Linked DNA regions of Ovis aries. The protein of the gene in region 6 purifies or fractionates together with the protein of the main gene of each other region. This does not show direct contact. Links are inferred from orthologs where the notes say so. Each region holds a gene or a part of one and is shown on either strand. Other genes may lie near its edges.

Region 1 (4,047 bases), on a different chromosome or scaffold from region 6:
TCTCAGTTGATACAGAGGGATGACACAGTGCATATCACTTTTGACATCATTTACATGAATAAAAGGAGTCCTGTTTTAGACATCTTAAAACAAGGTCAGATTTTATTAAATAGCTGGATTTTTTTTTTTCATTTTCAACAGATAGCAGAGGGAAAACAAGAAGAAATCCAACAGAAGGGACAAGCTGAGAAAAAAGAATTACAACATAAGATAGATGAAATGGAAGAAAAAGAACAGGAGCTCCAAGCAAAAATAGAAGCTTTGCAAGCTGATAATGACTTTACCAATGAAAGGCTAACAGCTTTACAAGGTAAGTTAGCTAATCCAGAAATTGATCTGATTTAATTTTTTCTTTCTTTTTATCTGTGAAATATCTTTTTCTTGGACTTTTATTTACAGTACGGTTAGAACATCTTCAAGAGAAAACTCTTAAAGAATGCAGCAGCTTAGGTAGGTGTCACCAGATTTCTTACTTAAAGCTGAATTTTTATCATTAAATTTTTGTTTACTATCTCACATTGTGTACTTGCTTTCTTTAAGAGGGATGTTTTACATATTAGGTGTAAAGTATCTACCCTCTTTCAGAAAATTTCCTTTAAAAATATGCTTGATTGCCACCAGTGGGCACCATTGTGTAGTCTTTGAAATGAATGAAATTTATACATCTGAGATGGTCTGCTTAGAGATATTTAAATAAGAAAAACACATGAACAGCAGAATCCTTTTTCTTTTGAGGTTTATCGAAAGGTTACTAAGCAGTTCTAGGCTTTTCGCTAAGATGATAGAAAATGGCAAGTTGAACCCTTCTTGTAAAAATAAATTTAAACTGTTCAGTCAGTCTTAATGTCAGTAGGAATACAAAATGCCATGGTTACACTTGAGACCAGTTTTAAAGTAATACTTTTTTTGATCAGGCAATGATACACTGTCTTAATCCTAGGGATACAAGTTGATGACTTCTTACCTAAAATAAATGGGAGCACAGAAAAAGGTAGTGTAAAAAACTTAAATATTTTTCTTTTATGATATCCTTTTACTATTTAAGCAGGATAGAGAAGTCAGGGATTTTAGATTTTAAGTGTTTGGCGTGAAAAGCATGCTGTTCATAGACTGTTAAATCCCATCTTTTAAAAGTCAAGCTTCCTTTTATTTTCTATTTCTTAATTCTGTGAGCTATGATTAGATGTCCCTTGTTATATGGAAATTTCAGTTATTGAAATAGTAAGATTTTAATAATGTTCAACTTTAGTGTTGGTTTATATAACCTAGTATAGCTTCCCCTGCCCTCTACTATATTTTCAAAGACGATACCACCATTTTCTTTCATCAAGTACTGCTTTCTGGGGATAATTGGCCCCTGTTTTTTAATATTTGTGCCCTGCCCCCTTCCTGGCCAAGAGTTTACTTAAAAGTCCAAAAAAGAAACAAAAATAGAAAGAAAAAAAAATGTCCAGTGAGTGTTTGGATGTGTCATCGAAACTGCTCTCTTTATCTGTCTGTTTTATCAATCAGAGAAAAGGGAGTCAGTCATGTATGCCATCTGAAAAATTATCTTTTTGTTCTTGATATCTGATCCTTCTTTCTGGATAGCTTGGGTTATCTCTTGCCACAAATGTATAACCACTGTTGGTTTTCCTACTGCAACATGAGTTTTCTACTCAATGGTTTCTGTATTCCTGCAGTCATGAAGATTTGTCCTCCCTCCCCATTCATCCAACATTAACTGAGCACCAGCTATATGCCAGATTCTGCATTAGATCCTTAGAGTACAAAATGCATAAAATTATTTTCTGTGTTTACAAATATATGTGCCTCTCAACTCAGTGTTTATATATAGAAGATGCCAAGGTCAGTACCCGAAACTTCATACTAAATAGTTTTTCCATGTATCAGGGGATAACTTTATAATTCTTGGGCGGCATCTAAACTCTGATAAAGTTAGGAAGTGCTTTTTTGGTTTGTTTTGGTTTGGTTGGTTTGTTTTTAATCAGGAAGTGGAATAATAGGCTCAGGTAACCATGTATATGTGAGGTACAAGATCAAGAGCTAATATTCCATGTATAATAAGTCTTGAAATTCAAAAAAGTTTCATCAGTCATTATTATGTGACTATTTTATATATGCTTTGTGAAATAACATTGACACTATAAAATTTCAGTTTGAGTTTCAATTTGAGACTTTTTAAAGGTGTAGTTTATGTTCATGCACCATTATTATTAAAGTATATTTAGTAAACATATGTAAAAAGACTTTATCTTCATCTTCTAAAAGCTTCTCATTCTTAAATGAATTTATATTTTCTGTTGTTGTTATTTTGCTCTTTTTTCTCTTTCTGGCATATACACTTCTCATTCAAATCCATCACCCTTTTGACTAGAACATGTATTTGTTGATAAAGCTAGTGTTAATTCAAGCTGGGAGCATTCTATTTAGTTAATAATCTTTTTATGTACACTGAACCATCATTATGCTATTTAGGGTTGTAAAATTATGGCTTAACAATTTTTTGCCAGTTCTAGTTTATTTAAATGAGAAAAGCTGTAGACAACTCCTTGATTTAAAACTGAATAAAATATTAATATTTTGGATACCTTAGGGTACTCCTGGCAATGATTATTTTTCCCTTGCAGATGTTAGTGCTTAATTGAGTAGTGTGTGAGTGACTAATAGAATATCTTTAAAGAAAAGTGAAAGTGAAGTCGCTCAGTCGTGTCCGACTCTTTGCGACCTGTTGACTGTAGCCCACCAAGCTCCTCTGTCCGTGGGATTCTCCAGGTGAGAATATTGGAGTGGGTTGCTATTTCCTTCTCCAGGGGATCTTCCCGACCCAGGGATCAAACCCAGCTTCCCACATTGCAGGCAGACGCTTTAACCTCTGCACCACCAGGGAAGCCCTGAGTAGTAAGTATCTGGATAAGCACAGAAGCTTCATATTTAGTTACAGAGTAGATTATGGATAAGATGAGTCTATTCTGAATCATTTATGATATAATAAGAGACTGATTATCAAGTATTCAAATATTGTCAAAGTCTGTAGTTATAATATGCTATTAGATATAATTGTAACCAAAATTACTCTTTAAGCAGCAGAAGGAGAACCAAGTTTAGTTGTAAGAGAATATTTCAAACATGTCTGGAGAAGTTAAGATTAATAATACTTCTCCAGTAAACTCATTTTTAAAATTACTTAAATCTAAAGTAGCTGTTATAAGCACAACTTTGTACTATAATTTTTAAAATGTTACCTAGTAAGCATGTTTTGAATATATCTTAGATGGTATTTAGAGAAGTGCTGTTTAATAGAACTATTCTGAGTGCCACATACATAATTTAAAATTTTCTGGTAGTCACATTAAAAATACAATAAGGAATAGCTAAATTTTTAATAATATATTTAATAATATGTTTACTTTAGCCCACTGTATTTAGAATTTTATTTCAATATGTAGTCAACATTAAACTATTACAAATGAGTATTTCACGTTCTTTATTCCTTAGTAAGTTTTTGAGGCCTGCTGCTGCTAAGTCACTTCAGTCGTGTCCAATTCTGTGCGACCCCATAGACGGCAGCCCACCAGGCTCCCCCGTCCCTGGGATTCGCCAGGCAAGAACACTGGAGTGGGTTGCCATTTCCTATAGATACTTAATTTACGCTGACAACACATCTCAATTCAAACTAGCAACTTTTTTTAAGGGCTCAGTGGTCACATGTGGCTAATGGCTGCTGTACCGGACAACACAGGTCTGAATGAAATACGTAGGTAACCCATGTATAAATAAAACACATTTTGTCTCATGATTCTTATTATGTTTCTGTGGCTACTTTTCTTTGCTTTCCTACAACCCTCTTTAGTATCACAGGACACCATCACCACTCCTCCTGCCCTCACACTTCAGTATCTGATTCGTGACTCCTGGTTTAGATGATCAGTGACATCTTATATAGTCTTGGCAAAGTGAATTCCCTAGGGCTTGATTTCAAGGAATGAAATACTAAAAGTGTCGTGATCCAAATCATTTACATGCACTACCTGAAAGACTTTTCTC
Region 2 (4,047 bases), on a different chromosome or scaffold from region 6:
CAGGCTCACTTCCGTAGGCCTCTTGTCTTCACCTGGATCCTAGGTTTTTTCCCACGATTTTGTTAGTTATAGATTTTTTTATTCTTAGGTTTGCTATTCTACTTGTCCTCAGTACACAGTTGGTCCTAATGATCTGGTCCATCATGACCAGAAGCAGAAATTCCCATTAGATGCTTTTGTTCCTGCAAAGAGTTTGTCTAATACATAAAGGAATTCAATCCTCTCTCTGGAGAAAGCTCATCCTTTTTTCATAACTTAATTGTTAGAAAACTTAGTGTTAGTCTGTCTCAGTTTCTAAAAGTAGTTCCTAGTTTTATTAAGCATATTAGCAATCTATTGCTGCATAACAACTTGTACCACATTTAACAGCTTAGAAGAACAAACGTTGATATCTCACAGCTTCCATGGGTCAGCAGTCTGGGGACAGCTTAATTATGTGACTGGCTGTTTGTATGGTTGTAATCAAGACATTGACAAGGGCTGCAGTCTTACCTAGACTTGACTTGGGGAAAATTGCTTCCAGGCTCACTCATGTAGTTGTTTGAAGGCCTTGGTTTCTTGCTGACTGTTGTCTGGGAACCAGTTCCTCACCGCATGGACCTCTCTGTGGGCTCCTCAACAGAGCAGCTGGCTTTTCCCAATGTGAGTGCACCTAAAAAGATAGGGAGCAGAAACACTCGAGATGAAAGGTTTTATAACCTAATTTTGGAAGTAGTTTATTCCAACTTCTGCTGTATGCTGTTGATCACAGAGCATGCCTATAATGTGGAAGCGTGAAAGTGTTAGTTGCTCAGTTGTATCCAACCCTTTATGACCCCATGGACTATAGCCTGCCAGGCTTCTCTGTCCATGGGATGCTCTGGGCAAGTATACTGGAGTGGGTAGCCGTTTCCTTCTCCAGGGAATGAACCTGCGTCTCCCACATTCCAGGGAGGTTCTTTACCATCGGAGCCATCAGGGAGGGGGACTACCCAAAGGTAAAAATAGGTGGGGCTGACTGGGAACTTAGTGGCTGCCTACCACATCAAGATAATCAAAGGAATTTAAGTACTCTTCCACATGAAAACCTTTTAGCTCTTTTATAAGAATAAAAGAGGTCAGCTCGGTTGCCCTTGTCGTCCTAACCTTCCTGCCAGCCCTGCCTGCCCTCAAAATAATCGGCCCCATTCTTAGAGTAGTTCCTTGCATAATGTGTTTTGTTTTCACTCATTGCTTCCCAGGTGGCGCTAATGGTAAAGAACCTGCCTGCCGGTGCAGGAGACAAAAGAGACCTGGGTTTGATCCCTGAGTCCGGAAGATCCCCTGGAGGAGGGCATGGCAACCCACTCAAGTATTCTTGCCTGGAGAGCCCCATGGACAGAGAACCTAGTGGGCTATGGTTCATTGGGTCGCAAATAGTCAGACACAACTGGAACAACTTAGCACGCATGAATTGCCCCAGTTGTGACATGTCCTGTCCAGATTTCTCTGCAGATTTTTAAATGTCTGGGTTCTAAATTACAGTTTAATAGTATAGCCTCTGAAACCAGATTGCTTGATTTTGAATCCTGACTCCTCCATTTACTAGATGGCAAGTCACTTAACTTCTCTTTCCCTAAAATGGCTAGTCTGTAAAGTGAGGATACTGTTAATTCCAACATCATAGAGTTGTGAGGATTAAGTGAGTTAATGCTTTTTAAGTCTTTTGAATAATGTAGAAAATAATGAATGCTGTATAGAATATCAGTTGTTGTATCATTGATAATTTTTGTAACTGTGAGTATGGTAACATTTCTCTAATATATTACAAATACTTGCTTAAATCTACCATGATTGTTAGCCTTGGAGTGTGAAGTTCATCCATGGTGCTTGTGTAAAGTCAAACACTATCCTCTTTAGCTTTTCTATTAGTTGGAATGAAAAAACAGTGCATTATTTTTTCAGTTATTGAGATTGAGATTCTGTGGAGAAAGTGAAAGTCACTCAGTTGAGTCCGACTGTTTGTGACCCCATGGACTGTAATCTACCAGGCTCCTCTGTCCATGGGGATTTTCCAGGCAAGAATACTGGAGTAAGTTGCTGTTCCCTTCTCCAGGGAATCTTCCCAACCCAGGGATCGAACCCAGATCTCCCGTGTTGCAGGCAGATTCTGTACCATCTGAGCTACCAGGGAAGCCCTCTGTGGAGAAAAGGAACATAGTAAATATATAATTATGTTCGTAATATCTGATTGTCTTTTCCAATTTTAACATTTTGTTGTCAGTATATAAACTTCATTACCAATTTGAAGAAAATTTAGCTCTTGTCTGAAACCACTGAAAACTTTGAAAGTATCATCATATTCTGTAATGTTAACATGCTTAAAGATAATTTAGTTTTTCAACTCTTAACCAGAATTGCTTTATATTCTATAATTCAGGTTTAAATCACTTGTCTTTTTAAAAAGCATCCTAGTGAAATTTTGTTTTTTGTTACTAAGTTATTTGATCCTCCTTCTATACTGAATTATGTATTTTCTTATTATAGCATTCATATTTCTTCAAAGAAAACCATTGTTGACATATTGCTAATTTTGCCTATTGATTTGGTTATCTGCTTAAAAATTACATTATTTTGAAAGTTGCAAAATAATGGTAGTTTAATGATGAAACAGTAAGAATTAATGCTGAAATACAGTTTTTTCCCTCATTCTGAACTAAGTATATTGGTATCTTTTTTTTCTTTAATAGATAGCAAATAATAAAGATGCATTGAGGAAGACATGGAACCCCAAGTTTACATTAAGAAGTCACTTTGATGGTATTAGAGCTCTCGCTTTCCACCCCACTGAGCCTGTTTTGATAACAGCATCAGAGGATCACACGTTAAAAATGTGGAATTTGCAGAAAACAGCCCCAGCCAAAAAGTGAGAATATTCTACTTTAACTGTATTTGAATAATTTAATTAATATTTTTCAGCAGAGAAAGCCTTACTTTATTATTTGCTGTTAAATTCCTCAAATATCTCTTCTAATTTTTTTCCTTACCATGTTATGTAATTTAGGATGTTTTTGCCTTCATACTCATAAGCTAATTTAGGTTGAAAAACTGACCCTTAGGGAGAAATGGTTTGTGAATGCTGATTATAATCTTTATTTGGTGTTTTAAATAACTTAAATTTTGAGAACCCTTTGTCTGCGCTGGAGGTTTCTGTTGTTGTAAGCAGGCATAGTCATGTTTAAAACCGTCAAACCCCAACCCCAATCCTTCCCCATTGTTTACTAGGTTTGGCCTTATGCTGGAGCCGGTGGGGGCAAGAGACCTCTCTTTGATCCTTTCTTTTGATCTTGACCAAAATGTCTAGACTGAAGGGGTACTGTTGCTGCTCTCACTTATCTGCTAAACTTCCCTTGGCCCCTTGGTTCCTCTGTAAGCACGGACAGACATGAGTTGGTATAAACCCCTTTTATCAGTCACCAAGCTAGTCCTGATCCCACTTGGTACTTTCTCTTTCTTCCTTGGATTACGTGGTCCAGAACCCAGCATCTACCAGCAAGGGCCCTTCTACAGTGATAGATACCTCTTTTTATTAAAGAGTAGAAATGAACGTCAAATGGAGGAGAGGACAGAAGTTTTACTACTGACAGAGAATATCTCCTGCCCAATTTGAAAACAATCAGTGACATTCCAGCTGTCACACCTAGACGTTCATCAGACAGCTCAACTGGATATTGCTAAAACCAAGTGAATCTTCATGTAGATCAGGTGTCTTTAACAGAGAAAGGTATTTCCTGGTTACAAACTGTGCCTTTTGTTCTTCAAGTTCTTTAGTTCACAGTGGGCATCATATTAGATGAGAGAATGTTGAGTATCTCATCATATATTCTTGACTGTAACTTTGAAATATATTGAAATTTCTTGCTGGTGGTAGCTTAGTAATAACACCTTCACAAGCAAGTAACAATAGTCTTTGTTTACCTTTGAACTTAAAACTTTGGAAATGAGGAGAGCTATCATATGCCTATTAAAAAAAAATCTGTAATACAATCCAGTTTCTGTTCTCAGTATGGCCAGCATAAGCCATGTAGA
Region 3 (4,047 bases), on a different chromosome or scaffold from region 6:
ATTTTCCAGGATGAATACTGGAGTGGGTTGCCATTTCCTTTTCCAGGGATCGATCCCAGGTCTCCCACAATGCAGGCAGACTCTTTACCATCTGAGCCACCAAAGAAGCCCAAATAACCATACATACTTCCACTAAAGCTCTTCTTTCATTTATCAAATAATAACATCTATTTTTGTTTATTTTTGTTGTTATTATTTAGGTTGTTAAGTGTGTAACCCATCCAATTCACTTGACTGACGCATTAAGTTGGTTGGAAAATACTATATTCCATCTCATTTTCCAATTCACTGTTTGGTATAATAAATACAGAATTCACTTTTCCCATATTCAGGCCCTTATTAAAATATACTTAAGAGAATTGTTTCATGATAAGGAACCTTTTTTCAATTATTTCACAGATTCTTTTCACTTATATTGAAGCTACCAATTTTATATAACTTGTAATTACTGTACAAGTGATTATGGAATTACAGTGAACTACTTCAAGAGAAAACAGACAGCTTGATAGCTATTCTCAGGGAAGTCTGAGACCTCACCACAGAAGCTCCGCATCCATTACTTGTAACCCTGTGATGCTTATTAATTCTACAGGATAATAACGGTGTGGGTTTTAAAAAGTCATATTTTTAAGGGTGAGTTAACTATGTACTCAAACCTGAGAGGAGCTTCCCAGCAGATCTGATATCAGTCTTGAATTGTACTCCCAGCTCTGCTCTCCCATACCACTTTCTCCATGGTGTTCTGAAAAGGAAAAGGTCATAAAAATATTCAGGTTCGCTTTTTCCTTTTTGCCCTACTAAACCAATTTCAGTACCAATAATCATTTCTTTTCCATAGCTAATCTTACAGAAATAGTAATCATGAGTAAAAGATGTGACAGAAGACTGGGATTTCAACTCCTTAAAGAGTTTTTTTTCCTCTCTTACTTCCTTTGTCTGTTTTGCTAAATAAGGATTTGCCATAGATAGAAATAGCCACAGATAGAAACTTTCATGGAATCCTGGATTATCAATCTCATGTTGTTGTTTTTTTTCAATCTCATGTTTTTATATCTGAATTTAAAGAAACAGACGTTCTTCATGAAAACATTGATAAGTCACATTTGTTTGACATTAATGCTCTTATATACGTAATTAAAATTGGCTTTTTTGTCTACTCTTGCCATGATTTTTTAAAAATAATAGGACTTCCCTGGCAGTCCAGTGGTTAAGACTCCCAACTCCCAATGCAGGGGGCATGGGTTCAGTCCCTGGTCAGGGAACTAAGATCCAGCATGCTGTGAGGTGCAACCAGAATAATGATGGTGATGATGATAAATAGTTTTGGAATTGGTCTTGTCTTTCTCCATCCTAAATGGACTTGATTTTGAAATTTTTGAAATTTTACTGAGAATTTTCTTTTTAATTTGGACCTCAAAATAGGATTCTGTCTTTTAATTTACATGCTCACATGTGCACGCATACATACTTGTAATAAGGTTAGGGGGTTAGTTAACAGTAACTTACAGCAACAAATGAGTTTCAAATTTCTAGTATACAGATATTATCCAAATACTCCAATAATGTCATTGCTGAAGATGGTTGTAGTCAAGCCAGAAGTAAAACCCAGGGCTTCTAACTCTGCTTTGAGCATTTGCCAACCGGTACCAATACAAATTTGTAACTCAAGGCTAATTCCTGAGTCTTAAACTTTAACAGTCTCTATTGAAGAAGAAGGCATCACATGTTCAGCACTGAAACCTGTTTCTTTGTCAAAGAAACCCATGTTCACTTTATTTTCTTGAGGGTTTTTGTTCTGTTTTTTAAGCATGGTCATTGGATTGTGTATTTTTCTTTTCAAATGGGTTCCCACTTGTGGGTGGTGGTAGTAAAAATATATATGTAGCTCCTGATAAAATAATTTTTTTAATTGAGAAATGACAATAGTTTTTGTAACTAGATGTCATTTGAAAGCTTAAATTATACAGTACTTTGCTATGACGTTTGAGGAAGTTTCCTCAACCCTCTATGAACAATTCTTTTTTTTTTTTTTTTGTAAAATGTCTTAGGAAACATTTAAATGTCTGTTTACATGATTGTTAATGTCCTTTATTCACCTGCACATAATATATGATGCTCAAATGAAATAGGACTTCAAATTTTTCCTAGCAGGGACAAGAGGGTAGCTTAAGAATCTCCTTCGACTGCCTTCCTGACCATTTGACCTGACTTGGTGCCCAGGACCAAAGCCCTAGGCCAGGCTCCAAGCACCAGTCCACATTCCCCGCTCAAGTTCCCCAAGCCCTGAAGGAGACAGGATGGAGATGAAAGACAGCAGCCGGACGGAGGCTAGAAGAGGGGGTGGAGGGATTCTGTCTGCAGCCCTAGTGCCGAGAGCCTCCACCCTCTTGACCCATCAGCAGTCGAGTGAAGTTCTATGTGGAGAAATCACAACCAGTCCTCGATTATAATGTAGAATTATTTTTAGCATCCTTTACTTACCTATGGTCACCTTGTTAGGTCTCTAAATCTGTAAACTCATAAAGATATTATGTTTACCATATTTTAGAAATGCAAATGCCATAACTCAGCAAGGAAAGATAAGATATACCCATTGGTAATACAAGCATTCATAAGCTGAGGCAGTAAGCATGGCAGTTCAGGTCACAGACTTTAGAGCCAGGCTGCCCAGAGGGGTTTAAATCCCAATTCTGACAACTTGCTAGCGGAGCAACCTGAAGCAAGTCACTTGACCTCTGCATAGTAATTTACTCATCTGCAAAATGGAAATGATAGCACCATTTTAAAAGTCAAAGTAAAACTTAAGGTAATCTGAATCTGAACACTTGGATCAGCATCTAACATGTAATTAGCACTGTATAAGTATTTGTTCTCATTAGTATGCTGTGCCCCTATTCTGATGCTGTATCTATACTTAGATGGCCCATCTGATTTGTAGTCACAGGTTACTTCATACCAACATCACCACCTTTGATGTCTAACTGCTAGCAAATCCCCTCTTCAGTAATATTTGAAAGCAAAATGCTTATTTTCCTTCTTTCCCAGGCCCAACACAGAGATACTTTCATTGAAGAACGCTATGGAAAATACAACATCAGTGATCCTTTAATGGCGCTCCAGAGAGACTTTGAAACCCTGAAAGAGAAGAATGATGGCGAGAAGCAGCCAGTGTGCACGAACCCGCTCTCAGTTCTTAAGATGGTGATGAAACAGTGCAAGAACATGCAGGAGCGCATGCTGTCCCAGCTGGCTGCTGCTGAGAGCCGGCACCGCAAGGTGGGTGACGCTGACACGAGCCCGCAGGCTCCTGTGACAGCTTTCTAAATAGTGCCTGATACTTTTCTGTCAGCTGCCAGGTCTCATGGTAGTTCAACTGGGAGGTCTCACAGGTGTCCAAAAAAAAAAGAAATCAGCTTACCTAGGAGCCAGGGGATAGAAAATGCAGGTTATTCCAAAGGTTAAATTTAGGGAGTATGTCAGACACATTATTTTAGATGACATTCCTTCTTGATACGACACTCCAAAACACTTGGTTTGTTTTTTCAACTCTTGATCACCCAAACTTTGGCAACAAACTGGGGCTTGACCAAGCCTTGTAGCTGAACAGAGTGTTCTCTATTTGCTTACTTAAGTGATAAATAGAAAGATTAATAGGTATTTGGGTATTTGGGGAATGCTGTATCAGAGAGAGAGAATTTACCTGACTGTAAACATACAAGCCAATAGATTATTTTTATTAAATTTCTGGTTTTGAGTTTCATTGCATTTTACCTCTCATGAAACCATAAACAGTCCCTACGGTTGTTTACCTTAAAGCTGTTCTCTATTAGGAATGTGTGTGTGTGTATGTGTGTGTCTGTCTGTCTGTCTCCAGGTCTTACAGCATCTAAGATAGGACCTGTGCTTTCCTCTACCTCATCTCATAGGAATTCTTCTAGTGCTTGTGATTTCATTCCCCGACTTGTCATTTATAGCTCACATTTGGCCTGGAAAAGATGCTTGGCTAGAATATGCATTTTTAAGAACTGTTGGTTTAGATTTATATCA
Region 4 (4,765 bases), on a different chromosome or scaffold from region 6:
AAAAACAAGCAAACAAAACAAAAAAAGAGTTATTAAGCCATGAAGAGAACCTTACATGCACATTATTAAATGAAAAAAAACCAATATGAAAAGGCTATATATTATATGATTTCAACTATGCAACATTCTGAATAAGGTAAAACAACAGACTCAGTGAAAAGATTAGTGGTTGTTAGGGGCTAGATGAGAGTGGAATGAATAGGTAGAGCACAGGTGATTTTCAGGGCAGTGAAAATATTCTGTATGATATTATAGTGGCGGATATGTCAAGATATGTTTGTCTAAACCCACAGAATATATACAACACTAAAAGTGAACTCTAATGTAAACTATGGAATTTGAGTAATAATGGTTTATTGACATACATTCATTGTCAGAAATGTACTAGGTCATGGAGTACTTTTGACAGCTGTGCATGTATAGGGGCATTTATAAAACATTTGCATGTATAAAACATTTTTAAGATTTATTTCTTCTCCATAGGAACTGTCTTCCTATTGCCAAAAACTAGACCCTTTCTCTCTCCACTGCTGGAGGATTTTTCCAATCTCCCAGTTAATCTCCTTTTCAAGGTAGTTCCTATTAGCTGTTCTGGTCACTCTCGCCCTATACATCTTTGTAAGACTCTTTAGAACTTTTCCAGTCAATGTTCTAGTCCAGAACTTGCTACTTTACCTCAGCATAAATTCTGTATCGCACACATTTAAGTCCCTGCTGACTTTTGCTCCTATTTTCTCCATCATTGCTTAACGCTGGTTTTTGCTTGAGGCACAGGTCCTCTTTCCTTTATTTTACAACTGATCAGGCTTTGCTTTCTTCTTCCTCCTCCCTTGTAGTGTTCACTTTATACCCATTTCTTCGGGGTCCAAATAAATGCCACTTCCTCCTTGAAGATTTTCCTGGCAGCTCCAAGTCACATTCACAGCTCTCAAATAATCATTCTTATGTGCTGTAGTTGGGACAAGATAGTGGAATCCTCAACTCTTATCTCTTAATTTGACCTATGAGCAGGAGACCTAGGAACTTTACCTGCTATAGTGGGACATGTATCTATAGACATTCGAGGCGCAAATGCGTAATTTACAAAATACTAGTTCTTCAAAGATATGCAGCAGCTCCTCTGCTTAAAGGAACACGCCTCAAATACTAATACGCATTTTTGTTTTTTAAATACAGTGGGTGTAGGAGCATGGTTTACTTATCTCACAAACCAAGGGATTCATTTCTTGATTAAAAAAAAAAAAAGAAAGCTATATCACATTTCCAACTAATTACGTCTCAACTGTCTCCAAGAGCTTCTCATACGCAGGCATGTTTTGTTTTCAACGCGTGTGAAATAAAACGTTCGAAGGGACTAACTACAGACATACTTAATATCACAACCCATAGGAAAAAGTCGAAAACACACTCGAGGTACTGCTGCTTCCTGGGAACGCCACCGGGCCTGAATTCAAACCTTTTGGAACCTCAGCTCTCTCGTCTGTACAGTGGAGAGGATACTCGACAATATTTACCTCCCAGGGTTGTGGTCAAAGGTTTTCTTTCTGAACTGCCGGGCAGTTTGCCTCCCAGGACCGAAGGGTGGCGCTTTTCTTCCCGCGATGCACTTCCGTGCGCGAGGAGGGGAGACCAGCGAGGAGGAGAAGCTCTCGCCGGAGGCCGGGTCCCAGAGGCGGGAGGCCGGGCCCGGACAGGTTGGGCCGCAGCTTCGACGTGCAGCGTTGGGGCTTTCAGCAGGAGCACGCCAAGTGTATACACACCGTGCAAAACACGCTGAGCGTGCGTGCACCCGTATGTGCGCGGTGCTGGGAGCGCGCTTCAATTGACAACGAAACGTGAAGGCGCAGAGCGTACGAAAGGAAAGCGACAACTGACGAGGCCGAGGGAGCCGGAGACCTTCTGTAGCGGCGACGAAGCTACCGGGCGCTCCGCGCCCCTGCGCCTCGGGCCGACGGGTCTCCACAGCGCCCCACGTGGCGGCCAGCGGGGTCGCAGCCAGCGCAGCCCATTTGCTCCGCCTCCGCGGCGCACTGCTGCCCTCCTCAGCTTCCCCGCCCGGCTCTCCCCCGACCCTCTTCCCTTCCCCCTCCCGGATCGCGATGGACGCGGTCTCCCCCCGCCGCCGCCGCTGGCAGCACGGCGCGGGCCTCTAAGCTGCAGGCCTCTGGAGCCGCGTGCCGGGGTCGGGACGTGAGCTGGCTGCCGCCGGTCTGGGGAACCTCTGGCTTTCCTGTCAGCAGGTCCCCGCGGAGGAAGGGGAGGGACAAGGCGCGGCTTTTCCTGTGCCGCCAGCCCGGCTCGACCTGCGCGGCCTGCGGCTTCCTGGGAACTCGAGGGCCGCGGCCGGGCCTGGCTCAGCCCGCGGCCTGCTTGGAGCTGGACCGGAGCGGTTTGAGACGACGGGCCTGGGTAAGAGCTTGAGGAAAGGGGACGCAGGAGCGCCTTCGGCGGTCGGAAGGGTCAGGCCTGGTTCCGGGATCAGGGATGCCTGGCGGTAGCCCGGGAGCGAGACCCCAGCCCCTGGTGAGGTCGGCGGGCTGCCGCCGACTCACCCGCTTGGCCCCTTTGTTTACCTCCCCCGACTCTGCCCACGGCGGGCCCCGGCTTGTCCGAGCCAGAGCCCATGGCTGGCCCGCCTTGTCCTTGAGAAAGGATCGCCGCCCGACGGGGCCAGGGACGTCCCCCCGGGCCTCGGAGTTCCGGGCGCCGCTCCCGGGAGACCCATCGCCCTGCCTGCTCCGGCCTCCTTCTCTCGGGTAGAGAGGCTCGCAGCTCCACCTCCAAAACTTACCCTCCTCCTCGACACAGGTAGCTAACTTAGCCGGGTTTGGTTCGGGAAAACCGGAGCGCAGTGCCTGCGTCTCCCGGCGCCGGGTCGGCTGGGCCCCGAGTTTTGGGTCACCCTTGCAGATCGCCGCCGTTGGGTGCCCACCGGAACCTGCCGCTGGATTTATGCACCTGCAGCTGGGTTACGAGGGACCCAACGCTGTCCTCTCGTCAGAGTGCTTTTGAGTTTTTGTATTGATTTGCCAGTTGGGGCTGCTTCTCTGTTGTTGGCTGCTGTTGTTTTTAACCAACTGCCCCGTTCGGTGAGGATGGGTAAAGAGGACCGCAGATTGGCCTGTGTTCTGATCTGTAACGTGTTAGTCCATTGCACTTACTTGTAGCATTTCTTTTTAAACTTTTAAGAACAGTTGCTGCTACTGCCAAAATTCCTAATCAAATCATAGATAGATCTTGTATATTGTTTGTATTTGGACATCTTAAGGATAGCAGTAAATTAAATCAGCAGAATTTAAGAAGTTGAAGTTAATTTTAGAGACTTGATTTGGAGGGGAATTGGATCAAAGTGCTAAGTTTCCTTAAAATACTGAATCTAATCCTTATCAGAAGATCAGCTTTGGGTGACGGAGGGGGAAGGAAGTTTTCTGGGGAAAAAAAGAACCCTTAGTAAGGTGTTGTTTGCCTTTTGGCAAACATGTTGGTGATAGCAATAGTGGGATCCGAAGCTTGTTTGACTGTCTTTGACAAAGGCGGCTCTGGTTTCCAGTTTAAGCAGCAGCCTAATCAGCTTATACTCTTGTGCAAAACTGGTTTTATTTAGTACAATGTATGAAGTTAAACCCGAGGAATAAGGAAAGTTGGAAAACTACGGTTAAGTACACTATCCAAACATACTTACAAGTCTTTTCTAATTCCTAGGATACCAAGAAAATCTGGCTCTAGCCGATGTAAAAGAAAAGAAAAAAAATTAAGCCCACGCTGTTCAGTCCTGGACATTTAAAGGAATTTTTGCCTTTGCTTTTTAAATTTAAGCAAAGAAGCCTAAGAAACAATGGCAGATGTGGACCCAGATACTTTGCTGGAATGGCTGCAGATGGGACAAGGAGATGAAAGGGACATGCAACTAATAGCCCTTGAACAGCTATGCATGCTGCTTTTGATGTCTGACAACGTGGATCGTTGTTTTGAAACGTAAGTGCAACCCTTCATCATTTTCATTTGGGGATGCTGTAGTGACCTGGGCATAACGTGTTTTCAACCATCTGCTGATTTGAATTTGTATAGAATTTTTCTTTAGTGAGTTTTATTTTTTTAATATATTTATTTTAATTGAAGGCTAATTACTTTACAATATTGTATTGGTTTTGCCATACATTGACATGAGTCCGCCACAGGTGTACATGTGTTCCCCATCCTGAACCCTCCCCCCCCCCCACCCTCCCCATCCCATCCGTCTGGGTCATCCCAGTGCACCAGCCCCAAGCACCCTGTATCATGCATCGAACTTGGACTGGCGATTTGTTTCACACATGATAATATATATGTTTCAATGCCATTCTCCCAAATCATCCCACCCTTGCCCTCTCCCACAGAGTCCAAAAGACTGTTCTATAAATCTGTGTCTCTTCTGCTGTTTCACATACAGGGTTATCGTTTCCATCTTTCTAAATTCCATATATATGCGTTAGTATACTGTATTGGTGTTTTTCTTTTGGCTTACTTCAGTCTGTATAATAGGCTCCAGTTTATTTAGTGAGTTTTAAAACTTATCTTTTGAAAAGCTTCTGTAGTTTTGCATTAACAATTTTCTGAGAAATAAAAATTGGTAGGTAAACTAACTCCAGTAATGATAATTGTGATGACACAAATACATGTTTGTTGACTGAATAGGAATTAGTAGAGAATGCTAATTCTACCCGATAACCTGACTGATTCATTTTCAAAACATGTTATAAACTGAGAAAATGCAAATGCTTCTTTA
Region 5 (4,473 bases), on a different chromosome or scaffold from region 6:
GAAACCTTTGGGGACAAGGGCAGTTTTCCCGTGATTGCTGGTAACACTGAGAGATTTCTTACCTTTTAGGTTGCAGGATAAGGGAGCTTCAGGGGAGCAGTTCCAGCCCAGCTCAGCTGCATCGCTGAGGAAGGAGAAACCAGGAGACCCTCAATCAGTCAATTTCACACAATAGAACACAATTTCATCTCACCTACAAAAGTGAGATGGGAAGGATGTCATAGCAATGTATAACCACCTCTTCTTTCATAAATGTGTCCAGAAAGGTAAGACTAGAAGTGACAGAAGGTATTACCATGACAACCCCTTCCCTAGATCCACTCCATCCTGAGAGACAATCTTAAAATGTCCTTTACCTTGGTGGGTCTTAGGGTCACTGGAAGGGGGACTGCCCCCATTACCATAGTAACCAGGACTTGGCTTTGCTTGTTTCTCACCTCTCTGGGGATGGTCCAGGCCTTGTAACCATAGCAACTACTTCTCAGCAGAGCATCTCCTCTAAATAAAAACACCTGGTTGGTTTGGTCCACAGACCTCCCACGATGGGAAAGGGGAGATGGTTACCATGGTAATGCCAACTGTGTGGCTGGGGGGAGGGGCTGGGAAAGAGCTGCTTCCCTTAGCACTGTCCTTGGGGCTGGGGTCCTTTCTCCCTGAGGGCTGGGTGAGGTTGCCATAGTAACCGATGTGGGTAGGGGCATAAGGACCACCAGAGACTTGGGTTACCTTAGCAACCTCTTCCTGGTGCAGGGCCAGGAGAGAGTTGGAGCTCCATAACCACAAAGGTGGAAGGGAGAGGAGGCTAAGGGTGTTCCAGATTGGGAGGAGTTACCATGACAACCGACCTGGGCCAGAAATCAGGATGGGGCCATTGCTGAAACCACCCCTGGTGGTCGTTCTTTCCCTCAAAGAGTGACAGTGATTGTGGAGGAGAGTGCTATTTGGGTCTGGAGAGGGCTAGAGTCTTTCTTTGGGATGAAACGGGAGGAGGGGGGTAGAAAGCGGTCCCCCCCCCCAAGTACCGCGTTTCCCATGGGCGACCCTCGCGCGGAGCCTGGGTCGCGTTTGCCCTCCTCCGGGCGCGCGCCCCCTTTCCGCCCCGCGCCCCCTCCCACGCGCGCGCCTTCGGGGTCGACCCGGGTGGGCGAGGCGCGCGCCCGACTTCGTTCCCGTCACCCGCCCCCCCGGCCCCCGCCGAGCGCGCGCGCGAGGGCTGGCGCGGCCGCGCAGGCGCGCGAGGCACAGCGGGCGCGCGGGCCGGCCCCGGGGCCTCCATGATGGAGGAGCGAGCGGCCGCCGCCGTCGCCGCCGCCGCCTCCTCCTGCCGCCCGCTGGGCTCCGGCGCGGGCCCCGGCCCGACGGGGGCGGCCCTGGTCTCCGCCCCCGCCCCGGGGCCCGGCCCGGCTGCCAAGGGAGGCGGCGGCGGCGGAGGCAGCCCGGGTCCCGCAGCGGGACCGGAGCCCCTGAGCCTGCCCGGGATCCTACACTTTATCCAGCACGAGTGGGCGCGCTTCGAAGCGGAGAAGGCCCGCTGGGAGGCCGAGCGCGCCGAGCTGCAGGTGAGCACCGCCCCGGGACCCCCGGCCCCCGCCCGCCCGGCCCGGCCCAGCCTCACCCGCCGCCGCCGCCGCCGCCATCTTGGAGCAATGGCCGCCGGGACGGCCGGGGGGGCGGGCGGGGACGGCGACCGGCCGGGAGCCGGAGTGAGGGGCCGGCCGAGGGGCGGCCGGCGGCGGGAGGGCGGCCCGCGCGGTCGCCGGGAGGAGGCGGCGCGGGGCCCCCGGGCCTGCTGGAAGTGGGAGCGAGCCGGCCGGCGGAAAGGTTCCTGGGAGAGGGGCCGCGGAGCCCCGAGGCGCCCCGGGAGAGCTCCGCGAAGCGTTGGGAGGGGATGAGGGGTCTTGTGTACGAGTGAGCCGGCAGCTCCCAGGGTGCCGCACGAGGGACTCCCCATTCCGCCCCCGACCAGGTGCGCGCCGGAGGCGGAGCCCGATGGACCCCGGGCGGGGGAGAGGGGGCGTCGGGGGTGACTGCGATCAGCCGGGGGCGAGAGCGGGGCGGGGAGCCCGCGTGAGTCGAGAGAGGAAGTCAGGGAGCCCGGGACGCGTGTGTGTTTCGGAGCGTTTGGACTGGAGGGACTGAATGACGGTGGTGTTGAGGACTCCAAGGATGCGGAGCAAGGTCTCCGGGCGCGAGGTGGGGGGCGTGAAGGTGTGTGTCCTCTCCTCTGAGGAGGAAACTTTGGGGAGCCCTGGCAGGCCTGGCTTCCGCGTGCAGGGGAGGGGTCCCAGGGTTGGAAGCACGGATGGAGCCAGGACGTGAGCCAGGAGCCTGTGTTGGAAGAGAACGGAGAGCCGAAACTCTTTGGGGATGTGGGGGCCCCCGCCGTGAGATGGGAGGTGAGGTGTGTGGGATGTCAGATGGAGAACCCCCGAACTGGAGTATGGGAGGGTCAAACTTGGCCAGCTGTGGAGAGGGGCGGTAGGATGGAGACAGTGAAGAGGAATCGGGGAACCTGGGGCATGGCAAGGGGAGCCTTTTTGGAGAGCAGGAAGACAGCCAGAGGAAACATTTCAGAAGGATCCTGGGGTGGGAGGTGTTTGTGGAAGTTTCTGGGAAAAGATCCTATGGTTTGTGGAGTAGATTCAGGGAGGAAGGTGTCCTGAGATGTTTGGAAGAGGCTGAGGAGCTGGGCTGGGTTTTGTGACCTTGAGAACTGTGGGTCGATTAGCAGAGTGTCCTGAGGAGCCTGGGTATCCCAGTGGCGAGGATTTGGAGGGTTGGGGCATTGTTAGCAAAGTCAGTATCTCCTTCTAGCATCTGGTCTTTCCTCTTTTCAGTTGCTGTTTCGTATCTGGTTGAGGTGGGGACCCAAGTAAATAACCAGATTAGAATTTTCTCCCTAGGATGATTAAAGAGAGCATCCCACACTTCTCCCACCCTGAAAGGGATCTTCACTGTGTGGTGGCTGAGGCTTGGGGTTAGAGTGGGAGAGAAAGCCTTACCTAAGTACCCCTTGCTATGATATCCCATCTGTACGTCTTATTAGATCTTCTCAATACCCCCATTGTGAAGACAGGGCCAAGGACGTTGCCCTTATTTAGCAATTATAATAGCAGCTGCTGTTTATTGAGTTTGTATTATGGGTGAGACACTGTGTTAGACACAGCAGATACATGGTATCACTTAGTCCTTGCAACATTCTGGGAGGGTGAGGGATGTTATTCCCCTTCCCTTCCTTTTCAAAAATAAAAGAGGAAGTGGAGACTTTGAGAAGGTCAGTCGTATATCAAGGATCATAGCCTGTGGGTGGCAGGGGTGGTCTGTGGACTTTCAAGCCCATACCTGTCTGACGCCCAGGACAGATGACAGGCTTGTTTCAGGGAAGCTCAGTGACCTTCCCAGGGTCATCCAGGCGGCCATAGGAGACGAGGGTACCCTGCAGCACCCACCACGCCGCTGCCTCACCTTTGAGACCAGCAAGAGGAACGATGCGTCCAGGCTCCAGCGTCGTTTACTTTGTACCCCTTTGTTGTTATCGTTCTGTTACATTAGTAAATTTCAAGGATCTCAGAAGTGCCTGTGTGTGTAGATGTACACACACCAAGTGAGTGAGAAGGGAAAGAGCCACTCCCCGAAACCCTATTATTGCTATAAAAGTAATTCAGCTCTGTGTGTGTAATATATGAAATCCTATTCAGTTCAGTTCAGTCGCTCAGTCGTGTCTGACTCTTTGTGACCCCATGGACTGCAGCACGCCAGGCTTCCCTGCCCATCACCAGCTCCCGGAGTTTACTCAGACTCATGTCCCTCAAGTCGGTGATGCCATCCAGCCATCTCGTCCTCTGTCGTTGTCCCCTTCTCCTCCCGCCTTTTACATGCTATTACATGCATCATTTTGTGACTTATTTTCACCTACTTATATATCTTTGCGTTTTTTTCATATGAGCACACAGAGCGCTTATTATTTTTGGGAACTGCACCCCGCCGGTGTCTGCACCACAGCTCATTTAGTTTGTGTCCCCTTAATGGATTTTTTGGTAGTTTCCACTTTTTGCCCATTGGAAGTGGCCGCAGGGACTGTCCTCGTATTCCCTCCTGAGTGAGTGTACAGCAGAATAAACAGGTGGGGTGGTAGAACAGACGTGTTTATAAACTGGTGATTGGTTCTGCCAAGTTGTCCCACATGTACACTCCCCGCAGCAGCACCTCTTTTTATACACTTTTACTTGAGCACTTATCACTTAGAGAGGTGTGACTTCTCCCGCGAGAACCTTCAAGGCCGGGACTGCGTCAGATTTTCCCCATAAACCCCGAATACCTCTTCTCCAAATAGCTTCTTTGTGCAGCTGCTCCTGGCACCAGACAGTCAGTGTGGGGGAATGGCAGAAAAGACAACTTCTTGGGAGGTCCTGCCAGGAGGCGCCTGGAAGATGGGAGCAGGAAGCTGGCATCATGGGGGATTCAGAGAAGGTG
Region 6 (4,047 bases):
TTTCACATTGTTACTTTGTTAATTGTAAGCATTACTCCTCAACATCTTTTCTACCTGTGCTTATTAAGAGCAGTGGGTAGTTAGCACATTTAGGCTGCTTTTCTCCCTTAGGAAGAGCGATAGAGTTGACTGTTTGATCTTCTGAATTCTTTAGTGAATCAAACATTGTGGTACTATGCCTCAATAGCATAGCAGTCTGTTGCTCATAATTTAAGAATGTTATGTGTTTAAGATACATGGTTTGTGTTCTATCCCTTACCTTTGAATCTTTTAATTACTGGTTATTTTTCTAAATTGATGGTGATGACCTGACTGAGATGAAACATTTCTGTGAGAGGCTTCCTGCTCTAACCTCCTTCTCTCTTAGAACAAACTTCCTTTTGCCTGTCTCTCTTGCATTCCAAAGTACATTTTCATTAAATCCCCAGGTCTAAGATTTTTCTTTGGGAACTATCTTCAGTGTCTCTCTGGAAATTAAAAAAAAAAAGATTTCAGTATGAAATGTTACATGCATATCTTGAGAAATTGATATTTTATAAGTTGAAGGTTACTTTTATATTTTGGGCATGTTTTCAGGGGTGAAATTATGTACCTATTGTTTTAATAACCATGTCCTAATTATTTATAGCTTCCTGCCTGACATAACTCACTTCAAGAAGTGCACAATGTCAGAACGTGGAATTAAGTGGGCTTGTGAATACTGTACGTATGAAAACTGGCCGTCTGCAATCAAGTGTACTATGTGTCGTGCCCAGAGACCTAGTGGAACAATTATTACAGAAGATCCATTTAAAAGTGGTTCAAGTGATGTTGGTAGAGATTGGGATCCTTCCAGCACCGAAGGAGGAAGTAGTCCTTTGATCTGTCCAGACTCTAGTGCAAGACCAAGGGTTAAATCTTCATATAGCATGGAAAATGCCAATAAATGGTCATGCCACATGTGCACGTATTTGAACTGGCCAAGAGCAATCAGATGCACTCAGTGCTTATCCCAGCGTAGGACCAGGAGTCCCACAGAATCTCCTCAATCCTCAGGATCTGGCTCAAGACCAGTTGCTTTTTCTGTTGATCCTTGTGAGGAATACAATGATAGAAATAAACTGAACACAAGGACCCAGCATTGGACTTGTTCTATTTGCACATATGAAAACTGGGCCAAGGCTAAAAAATGTGTTGTTTGCGATCATCCCAGACCTAATAATATTGAAGCAATTGAGTTCGCAGAGACTGAAGAGGCTTCTTCAATAATTAATGAGCAAGACAGAGCTCGATGGAGAGGGAGCTGTAGCAGTGGCAACAGCCAGAGAAGATCGCCGCCGACTGCGAAACGGGACTCGGAGGTGAAAATGGACTTCCAGAGGATTGAGCTGGCTGGTGCTGTTGGCAGCAAGGAGGAACTTGAAGTGGACTTCAAAAAACTAAAGCAAATTAAAAATAGGATGAAAAAGACTGACTGGCTGTTCCTCAATGCTTGTGTGGGTAAGTTTCTGTGTTTTTGAATAGGTTGGGAAAAGATATTAATGACGTGAAAGATATAAGGAAGGTAACATTATTTAGCATTTAGTTCATTCAGCATGATAGTACACTCCCAGCGTGCATGCATAAGAACCTCTGAGTTTGTGATCTTGTCCTTTGAATGGGTTGGGAAAAGATATTAAAAGTAACATGAAAGATACAAGGAAGGTCACATTATTTAGCCTTTAGTTCATTCAGCATGGTAGCTGCTACTGGCAGTGTGTGCGCATGCATAAGAACCTCTGACTTTGTGATCTTGGCGTAACATTTTCCTGTATTGCCTCCATTTCATTGTGCATGTGTCTTTCCATCTTTAGAGAGAAAAATGTCAAGTTATAGCAGAGTTTTTTACATATCTGTAGTAAAATATATACCTGCAGTTTAAAACTGCTACTCTGCTTATTGTAACAAGATGTGACTGAGGAGTGCCAGCTGCAGCTTCGGAGTGTCTGTAAACAGTGTGAGCGTCTTGTGATGGTAGAAGCTTCAGTCAGAAGTTAAAAATATCACAAAAATGTGTGACTCCAAGAAGTTGAACAGACATAATACTGACCTTGAAAACGCTGATGTTAATTTTTTGTGAATGTCTTGTAGTGAATATTTGCAAACTTCGTGAAACTGATTTCATGTGGCCAGCTGGTTCCATAGTTCAGATTATGATTTGTGTGTGTTGTGTTTTGGTACTTTCCTAAGGAAATGCTGGATAATAGTCTCAGTTACTGGCTCAGAGCTGTTAAGGGACAGAGCCATGTTGTGAGAGTAAGATTTTCTCCAGTTACTGATCTTGTGAGTTAATTATTTATGATGTAGTTAATGAAAGCAGTTTTTTGTATGCCCCCCATCGCTGTTGAGTAGATTAGCTATTTTAATTATATAAATTTAAATAATTTGGATTGGGTGCTTACTTTTTTTAAAATATAAATTTATTTATTTTAATTGGAGGTTAATTACTTTATAATATTGTATTGGTTTTGCCATACATCAACATGAATCTGCCACGGGTGTACACATGTTCCCCATCCTGAACCCCCCTCCCACCTCCCTCCCCATACCATCCCTCTGGGTCATCCCAGTTGGGTGCTTGCTTTGACATTCAGTTTTGTAAAGAAAGTTTTGAGTGACTGCTAAAGTTAAATCTCGTGTAGAGTAATAGCTATGCCTTAAACATGGCTTGGGCTGTGTGTGTGGTATGTGTGTGTATTTCCCAGTACCAATTAATTTTGTTTATCCTCCTGAATATAGCCCCAAGAGTATGGAGTACATAACTTATGAACCTACAAGTCCAAAGAGTAGATTTCAAGAAATCTGTTTTTTTGTTTTAGCTTTGTCCTGGCCCCCCAAGAAAGTCCCAGCAGATGAGCCCTTCTGCACAAGACACAGACACAGCCCTTAGGAAACGTTAGCTCCAGTTTTCTCCTGTCCTGAGGACAAGGAACAAAAGCACACTGAGCTGTGTTCAGTCGTCTGTGCTGTCCCATTACAGCCCATCGATTCTTTTTCTCTCCCCAAATTGAGGTACCACATATGGTGTGAGTGTTTTTTCTTTTTTTAAAACCCGGAGATACAGAAGGGGGGTTGTTTTTTTTTTTTGAATGTTTAAAAATTGAGGTCAAATTCATATAACATAAAACTCATCGTTTTGAAAGTGAACAATTTTGGGGTATTTAGCACATCCACAGTGTTGCAACCATCATCTCCATCTAGTTCTGAACATTTTCATCATCCCGGAAGAAACCCATTACCCACTTAAGCAGTTGTTCCACACCTCCAAGACCCCAGTAATCAGCAGTCTGCTTCTGTCTCAGTGACTATTATTGTGAATATTGCATACAAATGGAAACTTATGTGATCTTTTGTATCTAGGTGTGATTGTCCTTTAACTACCCATCTGCCTTTTAGAACACTGTTAGGATTATTTTTGCAGGCAATAGTGTAATATATTAATATTAACTGTAAGGTGGTGTTATAGTACCTGTATGTTTATAGAAGGTAAGAAACTAGATTGCAGTGATTTTTTTAACCTCTTTGGGGTTACTGTTTCTTCAAGTTAGTGAATCTAATGATGAGAACTGCTTTGAAATATTTTTTCCCCTTGACATGCACAATAGACCTGTCAGTATATCTTTGTCTTTATGGCTGTTATTTCTTGCATTTCTGACTACTGTGTCTTCTTGATGTTTGTCTTTCTTTCCATATATTGAGTTTTTTTTGGTAACTATCTTTTTGCCTCTTTGAATTCTTATAACTGAGCAAAGTCAAGTCCCCATTCCCACATGTTCCGTAGTTTCTAGGTTCTTAGGGCTAAGAATTGATTGGTTCTTGGTACTGTGGATTCTCTTTCCTACCAGCAAGTATTTTTGAGTTTTCACTGTATAATATGGTTCTAAACAGTTGTATGAAAGAGTTTGGTCCTGTCTTTGTTGGATAGTCTTATCCTGATTTGTAAATACCATTGAAATATGTTAACTTTTAGTTGTTTACATTGTGTTGGGTTAGCAGAAGTCTACATGTATTGAAAATTAATCTTCTCCC
Region 7 (4,047 bases), on a different chromosome or scaffold from region 6:
CTCCTCTGCCTGGAAGTCCCAAGGCCGGGCATCAAGATCTACGACGAAGCAGGAGGACATGTTATGTTGAGAACCAAAGCCTTGTGGCAGCTCCCCTTGGGGTCACTGCAGCCCAGGGCCATGCGGGCCTGGGCTTGGCCAGTTCAATGTCAACCAATAACAGGAAACCTCCAAGCCCAACCCTCGGGAAGACTTACAGGACTTCTTTCCTAGGTACACAGGAAAAGTCAGGTCAAAGGGGAAACACCAGAGCTACAGAGAAAGAGGCTACACAGCAGTTCACGTGGGTCTGCTGAGGAAAGCCAGGAGGACAGCACACTTCTCTGAAAGTCACATTCCCCCTGGCTCTCCCAGGTAAGAGGCAGGAACCTGCAGATACCCCCGTTTGCTTATTCTCTCAAATCCCTGACCGGGTGCTGTGGGCCACCTTGCCTCTACAAATTCAGGGCGTTGGGAGTGCAGATGCAGTCACGTGCCCCTGGTGCTGTGGTCAGGAAGTCTAAGGGTGCGGCAGCATGCTTGGGGATACCAGGAAGACCCACTCTGCCAGGGAGGCCAAGGCGGGAGGGGAGGAGCACGTACAGATACAGAGGGCTACAGGGAGGCACCCTGCCAGGAGAGGGACCAAGTCCGGGGCAGGACGGCCAACGTGCTCAGAGCCCCAGGTGTGATGGAGGCTGGGCTGAGGAGGTGGAGCAGATTGCAGAGGACAGGGAGGGACCATGTGTGGGCCCTATGCGCTTAGAGTTTGGCTCTAATTCTTAGGGAAATCAGAAGTCAGAGAAGGATTACACTCAGAGAGATACCACCACTGGATCTGGGTTTTATAAAAATCACTAGGGCAAAGTCTGAGGCACTGATGAAGGGAAAGGAACCAGAGGCAGGGAGGCCATTAGGAGCTGCGAGAATTTCGGTGACCAGAACCAAGGCAGCTGCAGGGGTGAGAGAAAGGACGAGAGGTTGGATAAAGGCTTGTGACAATTCCTGGAAAAGGGAACCGGAGGCACAGAGAGGAGCAGGGATGACCACAGACACAAGCCTGGTAGTCTCTCCAAGCCCTTCCTGGGCGTCCCATTCTGATGCTACAGACGCAGGAGCTGGGCACTTCCAGGTTGCTCGGAGGGAAACTTGAGAGCAAAGGAAGAGCTGTCACTGTCCCCCACTCCCTTCCCTCGCCTCACACGGAGCCTCACCGTTGCCGTAGGCCCAGTCGTCATTCAGCCGATGCCGCACCTTCTGGTAGATGGCAGACATGGTCTTCATGTTGCTCTTCCGCCACTGCCGTCCCAGATACTTGGTCTGCACCTTGAGCAGCTTCAGCACATACAGCTGCATCATGGCCTGTTTCACTTTCAGGGCCCGCTTCAGGATGGGGGCTGACTTGAACACCACCAGCATCTGGAAAGGGGCACGAGGGAGGCTGTGTTGAACGCAGAAATAAATCCACTGCTGCCCCTCCGGGTTACAGGTAGGGTGACCAACTGTCACAGTCTTCCTCAGACTAAAGAGTTTCTTGGGACATATGACTTCCACTAAAGTCTCCTGGCTAAAACTAGGCAAGTCCCAGGCAAACCTGGATGGTTGGTCACCCGAGTTATGGGTCATTCTGGAATCCGAAGAAAGCTATGGAGTCCATCACCCAAAGTATCCCTATGTGCAGGTACATACAATTCCAGGGGGTGAGTGGGCCTCCCCACCTGAGGCATCCACAGACTCAGAGTTGAGACGGTTCTCAGAACCCTGGTTATGTTACCAGTGGAGATTAAGAGGCTATTCAAAATTCCTTCTATATTACATGAGAATTTGTGTCAGTGCTTGACTGAGCCTCTTCTAGCTTCCAGTTCAACTGGTCGAGGAACCAGGGATCCACCTCCACATGTAAAGATGTGGCTACAGGAAAGTTAGGTGAGGAGGATGCGGCTGCTCCAGCAAGCCTGGGCACTCCCTGCCCCCACGTGAAGGGACAGGCCGGTGTGTGTCACTCTGCTTTAAGCTCCGGGACTCATGCCTGCTGGCTGTGCTGACTCACCATCGTCCTCGAATGCTTCCATTTTGTCAGCTTGTTCAAGATCCGAAGCAGATTAATACAAGAAAAGAGGTTTCTCCAGCAAAACTGGTTATTGTCACCTGCTTCCTGCAGGGAAAACCCAGCAACCATCGTCTCCTGCACAGCTGCAGGCGCCCCCAGTTTCCCAGGCCCTCCCATATATGACCTCAGCACTGCGCGTCACTCCATGTGGGCACTAGGAACTCTCTCCTCTCCTCAGCCCGGGGGCATGCCATCCCAGAAGCTGGCAGAGGGTAGGGGGTGCTCCCTAGAATCTTCCTGTAGGGAACGTGGAGCATGACATTGAGGGCTCTGGCCTCAGCCCCCACTACCTGGGGCACCCAGGCTCCCTCACAGCTGTGGCCCCAGAGTTCCAGCGTGGGGAGAAGGAAACAACTCGACCAGGTGAGCTCTGGGTCAGCAGCCCCTGAAGACCACAGTCCTGACAAAATAATTTCTAAATCCAAATGTTCCTACAAGGTCCCCTTCCTGGTCCTCCTATGCAATGTCAGTGCTTCAAAAGCCAGGCACTCAACAGTGAGCTGACCTGTGAAGACACCTTTCCCCCAGGTGAGGGGGCAGGCTCTCCAGTCCAGCCCTTACCCAGAGGAAGCACTGGGGCAGAGGCCAGCTACTCACCAGACTCTCGGCAGTCAGCTCTGGCAGCTCGTGCACCACACAGTGAGGGTAGTCCAGGACAGAGATGCTGCAGGGAGCAAGAGAACAAGGCACCCACCATGAGCAAGGGCTGGGGCCTGGCAGAACGGCCGCTGACTCCTGGCTTTCCTCTCTGGCGTGCCGAAGCAGAAACAGCAATCTACCTTGTCTGCTCTACCCTGACAGGGAAACACCTGCTACGAGAGCACTCGTAAGACCCCTTTGTAGCCAGAGACAAGCTTGTAATCTTGTGAGGGGTGGAGAGAGCATGGTATCCCTCACAGCAATACATCTGGGGCTGGTGGTCGATTTCTCAAGGCAATTAATTTACGCCAAACCCCTCCTGGAGACTGTGTCTGGCTAACAGCTCAGCTTGCGGTGTTTCACAGTGTGAAGTACAGCTGGCACCAGGTGACGGGGTGGGGTAAGAGCAGACAAGCCATCACAGTGCACATGGCCGAGCTCCTGGGAGCAGCAGGCAGCCCCGCCAGGCTCCTCAAAAGAATGGGGGACACAGAAGGACTGAGGGCAGTACTAGAGCCCAGGATGAGAACCCTCCCACCCAGGCACAGACAGACTGAGCCCCCTATGTCACGAGACTAGCCAGACTCAGGTATGACAAACTGGTGTTTTCTATAGACCACGTCTCTTTCATCTTTGGGTCCTGACATCTGGCAGAGCACCAGCTTGTGGACGCTGACTGGGCTCAGTGGAAGAGGCCAGCTAGGAGCCCTGCCATCTGGCCATACCCACCCCTTCCTGATCCCTGGTCCTTATCACCTGTTCTTGGCAGTGATGTAGGAAATAATGTTTTGATTGAAGAACTTTAGGATCAAAGGGATGCAGTTGGCAAACACCAGGTGCTGGGCCATGTACTCAAACTGAAAGCAACAGGAGAAAAAATAAGCATGCCCCCTATCCCCGGGACGGGGGAGCCTGCCGGGCTGCCACCTATGGGGCCGCACAGAGTCGGACACGACTGGAGAGACTTAGCAGCAGCAGCAGTTGGGATCTCACCCTTTCTCTCGTGATAAAAAGCCTCGTGTGGAGGACTGTTTCTCTGCACATTTGCGCAGAGCTCAGGGAGGTTTGAAGGCCAAGCCTCTGTTCTTTGGGGCCTGAGGAGCAGCACTGCCCAAGGGCCTGGCCCCGTGGACAGAAGGAAGGGGCTGTAGATACCTGATAGACGTGGTTCAGCTTGAAGTGCTTCAGCAACAGCAGCAGGACGGCAGAAATGGCCTTAACGATGACCTCTTTGTGGCGGTTCACATCCACTCCCAGCTTCATGCTCTGCAGCACTGTGGTGCTAGAAGCACAACCCCGGGTGAGGCCCCAGCATGTGC

What was found.
Region 1: the proteins of ZRANB1 (region 6) and SLMAP purify together in Homo sapiens (affinity purification with mass spectrometry; 3 studies listed by BioGRID and IntAct, with this or other methods). This does not show direct contact. The link is inferred for Ovis aries from reciprocal best matches to the Homo sapiens genes ZRANB1 and SLMAP.
Region 2: the proteins of ZRANB1 (region 6) and STRN purify together in Homo sapiens (affinity purification with mass spectrometry; 4 studies listed by BioGRID and IntAct, with this or other methods). This does not show direct contact. The link is inferred for Ovis aries from reciprocal best matches to the Homo sapiens genes ZRANB1 and STRN.
Region 3: the proteins of ZRANB1 (region 6) and CTTNBP2NL purify together in Homo sapiens (affinity purification with mass spectrometry; 4 studies listed by BioGRID and IntAct, with this or other methods). This does not show direct contact. The link is inferred for Ovis aries from reciprocal best matches to the Homo sapiens genes ZRANB1 and CTTNBP2NL.
Region 4: the proteins of ZRANB1 (region 6) and HECTD1 purify together in Homo sapiens (affinity purification with mass spectrometry; 5 studies listed by BioGRID and IntAct, with this or other methods). This does not show direct contact. The link is inferred for Ovis aries from reciprocal best matches to the Homo sapiens genes ZRANB1 and HECTD1.
Region 5: the proteins of ZRANB1 (region 6) and STRN4 purify together in Homo sapiens (affinity purification with mass spectrometry; 4 studies listed by BioGRID and IntAct, with this or other methods). This does not show direct contact. The link is inferred for Ovis aries from reciprocal best matches to the Homo sapiens genes ZRANB1 and STRN4.
Region 7: the proteins of ZRANB1 (region 6) and STRIP1 purify together in Homo sapiens (affinity purification with mass spectrometry; 4 studies listed by BioGRID and IntAct, with this or other methods). This does not show direct contact. The link is inferred for Ovis aries from reciprocal best matches to the Homo sapiens genes ZRANB1 and STRIP1.

Annotation. Positions count from the first base shown.
Region 1 is NC_056072.1:43,481,340-43,485,386, reverse strand, and holds part of SLMAP (sarcolemmal membrane-associated protein), read left to right. Parts: intron 1-141; coding exon 142-310; intron 311-399; coding exon 400-450; intron 451-940; coding exon 941-991; intron 992-4,047. UniProt on the Homo sapiens protein: Associates with the striatin-interacting phosphatase and kinase (STRIPAK) core complex, forming the extended (SIKE1:SLMAP)STRIPAK complex.
Region 2 is NC_056056.1:87,162,722-87,166,768, forward strand, and holds part of STRN (striatin), read left to right. Parts: intron 1-2,708; coding exon 2,709-2,884; intron 2,885-4,047. UniProt on the Homo sapiens protein: Calmodulin-binding scaffolding protein which is the center of the striatin-interacting phosphatase and kinase (STRIPAK) complexes.
Region 3 is NC_056054.1:89,883,928-89,887,974, forward strand, and holds part of CTTNBP2NL (CTTNBP2 N-terminal-like protein), read left to right. Parts: intron 1-3,045; coding exon 3,046-3,276; intron 3,277-4,047. UniProt on the Homo sapiens protein: Regulates lamellipodial actin dynamics in a CTTN-dependent manner. Associates with core striatin-interacting phosphatase and kinase (STRIPAK) complex to form CTTNBP2NL-STRIPAK complexes.
Region 4 is NC_056071.1:39,550,478-39,555,242, reverse strand, and holds the start of HECTD1 (E3 ubiquitin-protein ligase HECTD1), read left to right. Parts: upstream 1-1,617; 5' UTR 1,618-2,409; intron 2,410-3,702; 5' UTR 3,703-3,835; coding exon 3,836-3,975; intron 3,976-4,765. UniProt on the Homo sapiens protein: E3 ubiquitin-protein ligase which accepts ubiquitin from an E2 ubiquitin-conjugating enzyme in the form of a thioester and then directly transfers the ubiquitin to targeted substrates.
Region 5 is NC_056067.1:53,621,208-53,625,680, reverse strand, and holds the start of STRN4 (striatin-4), read left to right. Parts: upstream 1-1,243; 5' UTR 1,244-1,274; coding exon 1,275-1,559; intron 1,560-1,615; exon of another isoform or gene 1,616-1,660; intron 1,661-1,705; exon of another isoform or gene 1,706-1,966; intron 1,967-2,056; exon of another isoform or gene 2,057-4,473. UniProt on the Homo sapiens protein: Calmodulin-binding scaffolding protein which is the center of the striatin-interacting phosphatase and kinase (STRIPAK) complexes.
Region 6 is NC_056075.1:43,994,124-43,998,170, forward strand, and holds part of ZRANB1 (ubiquitin thioesterase ZRANB1), read left to right. Parts: intron 1-628; 5' UTR 629-665; coding exon 666-1,479; intron 1,480-4,047. UniProt on the Homo sapiens protein: Ubiquitin thioesterase, which specifically hydrolyzes 'Lys-29'-linked and 'Lys-33'-linked diubiquitin. Also cleaves 'Lys-63'-linked chains, but with 40-fold less efficiency compared to 'Lys-29'-linked ones.
Region 7 is NC_056054.1:87,360,112-87,364,158, reverse strand, and holds part of STRIP1 (striatin-interacting protein 1), read right to left. Parts: intron 4,011-4,047; coding exon 3,884-4,010; intron 3,586-3,883; coding exon 3,485-3,585; intron 2,754-3,484; coding exon 2,687-2,753; intron 2,135-2,686; coding exon 2,030-2,134; intron 1,399-2,029; coding exon 1,194-1,398; intron 39-1,193; coding exon 1-38. UniProt on the Homo sapiens protein: Plays a role in the regulation of cell morphology and cytoskeletal organization. Required in the cortical actin filament dynamics and cell shape. Part of the striatin-interacting phosphatase and kinase (STRIPAK) complexes.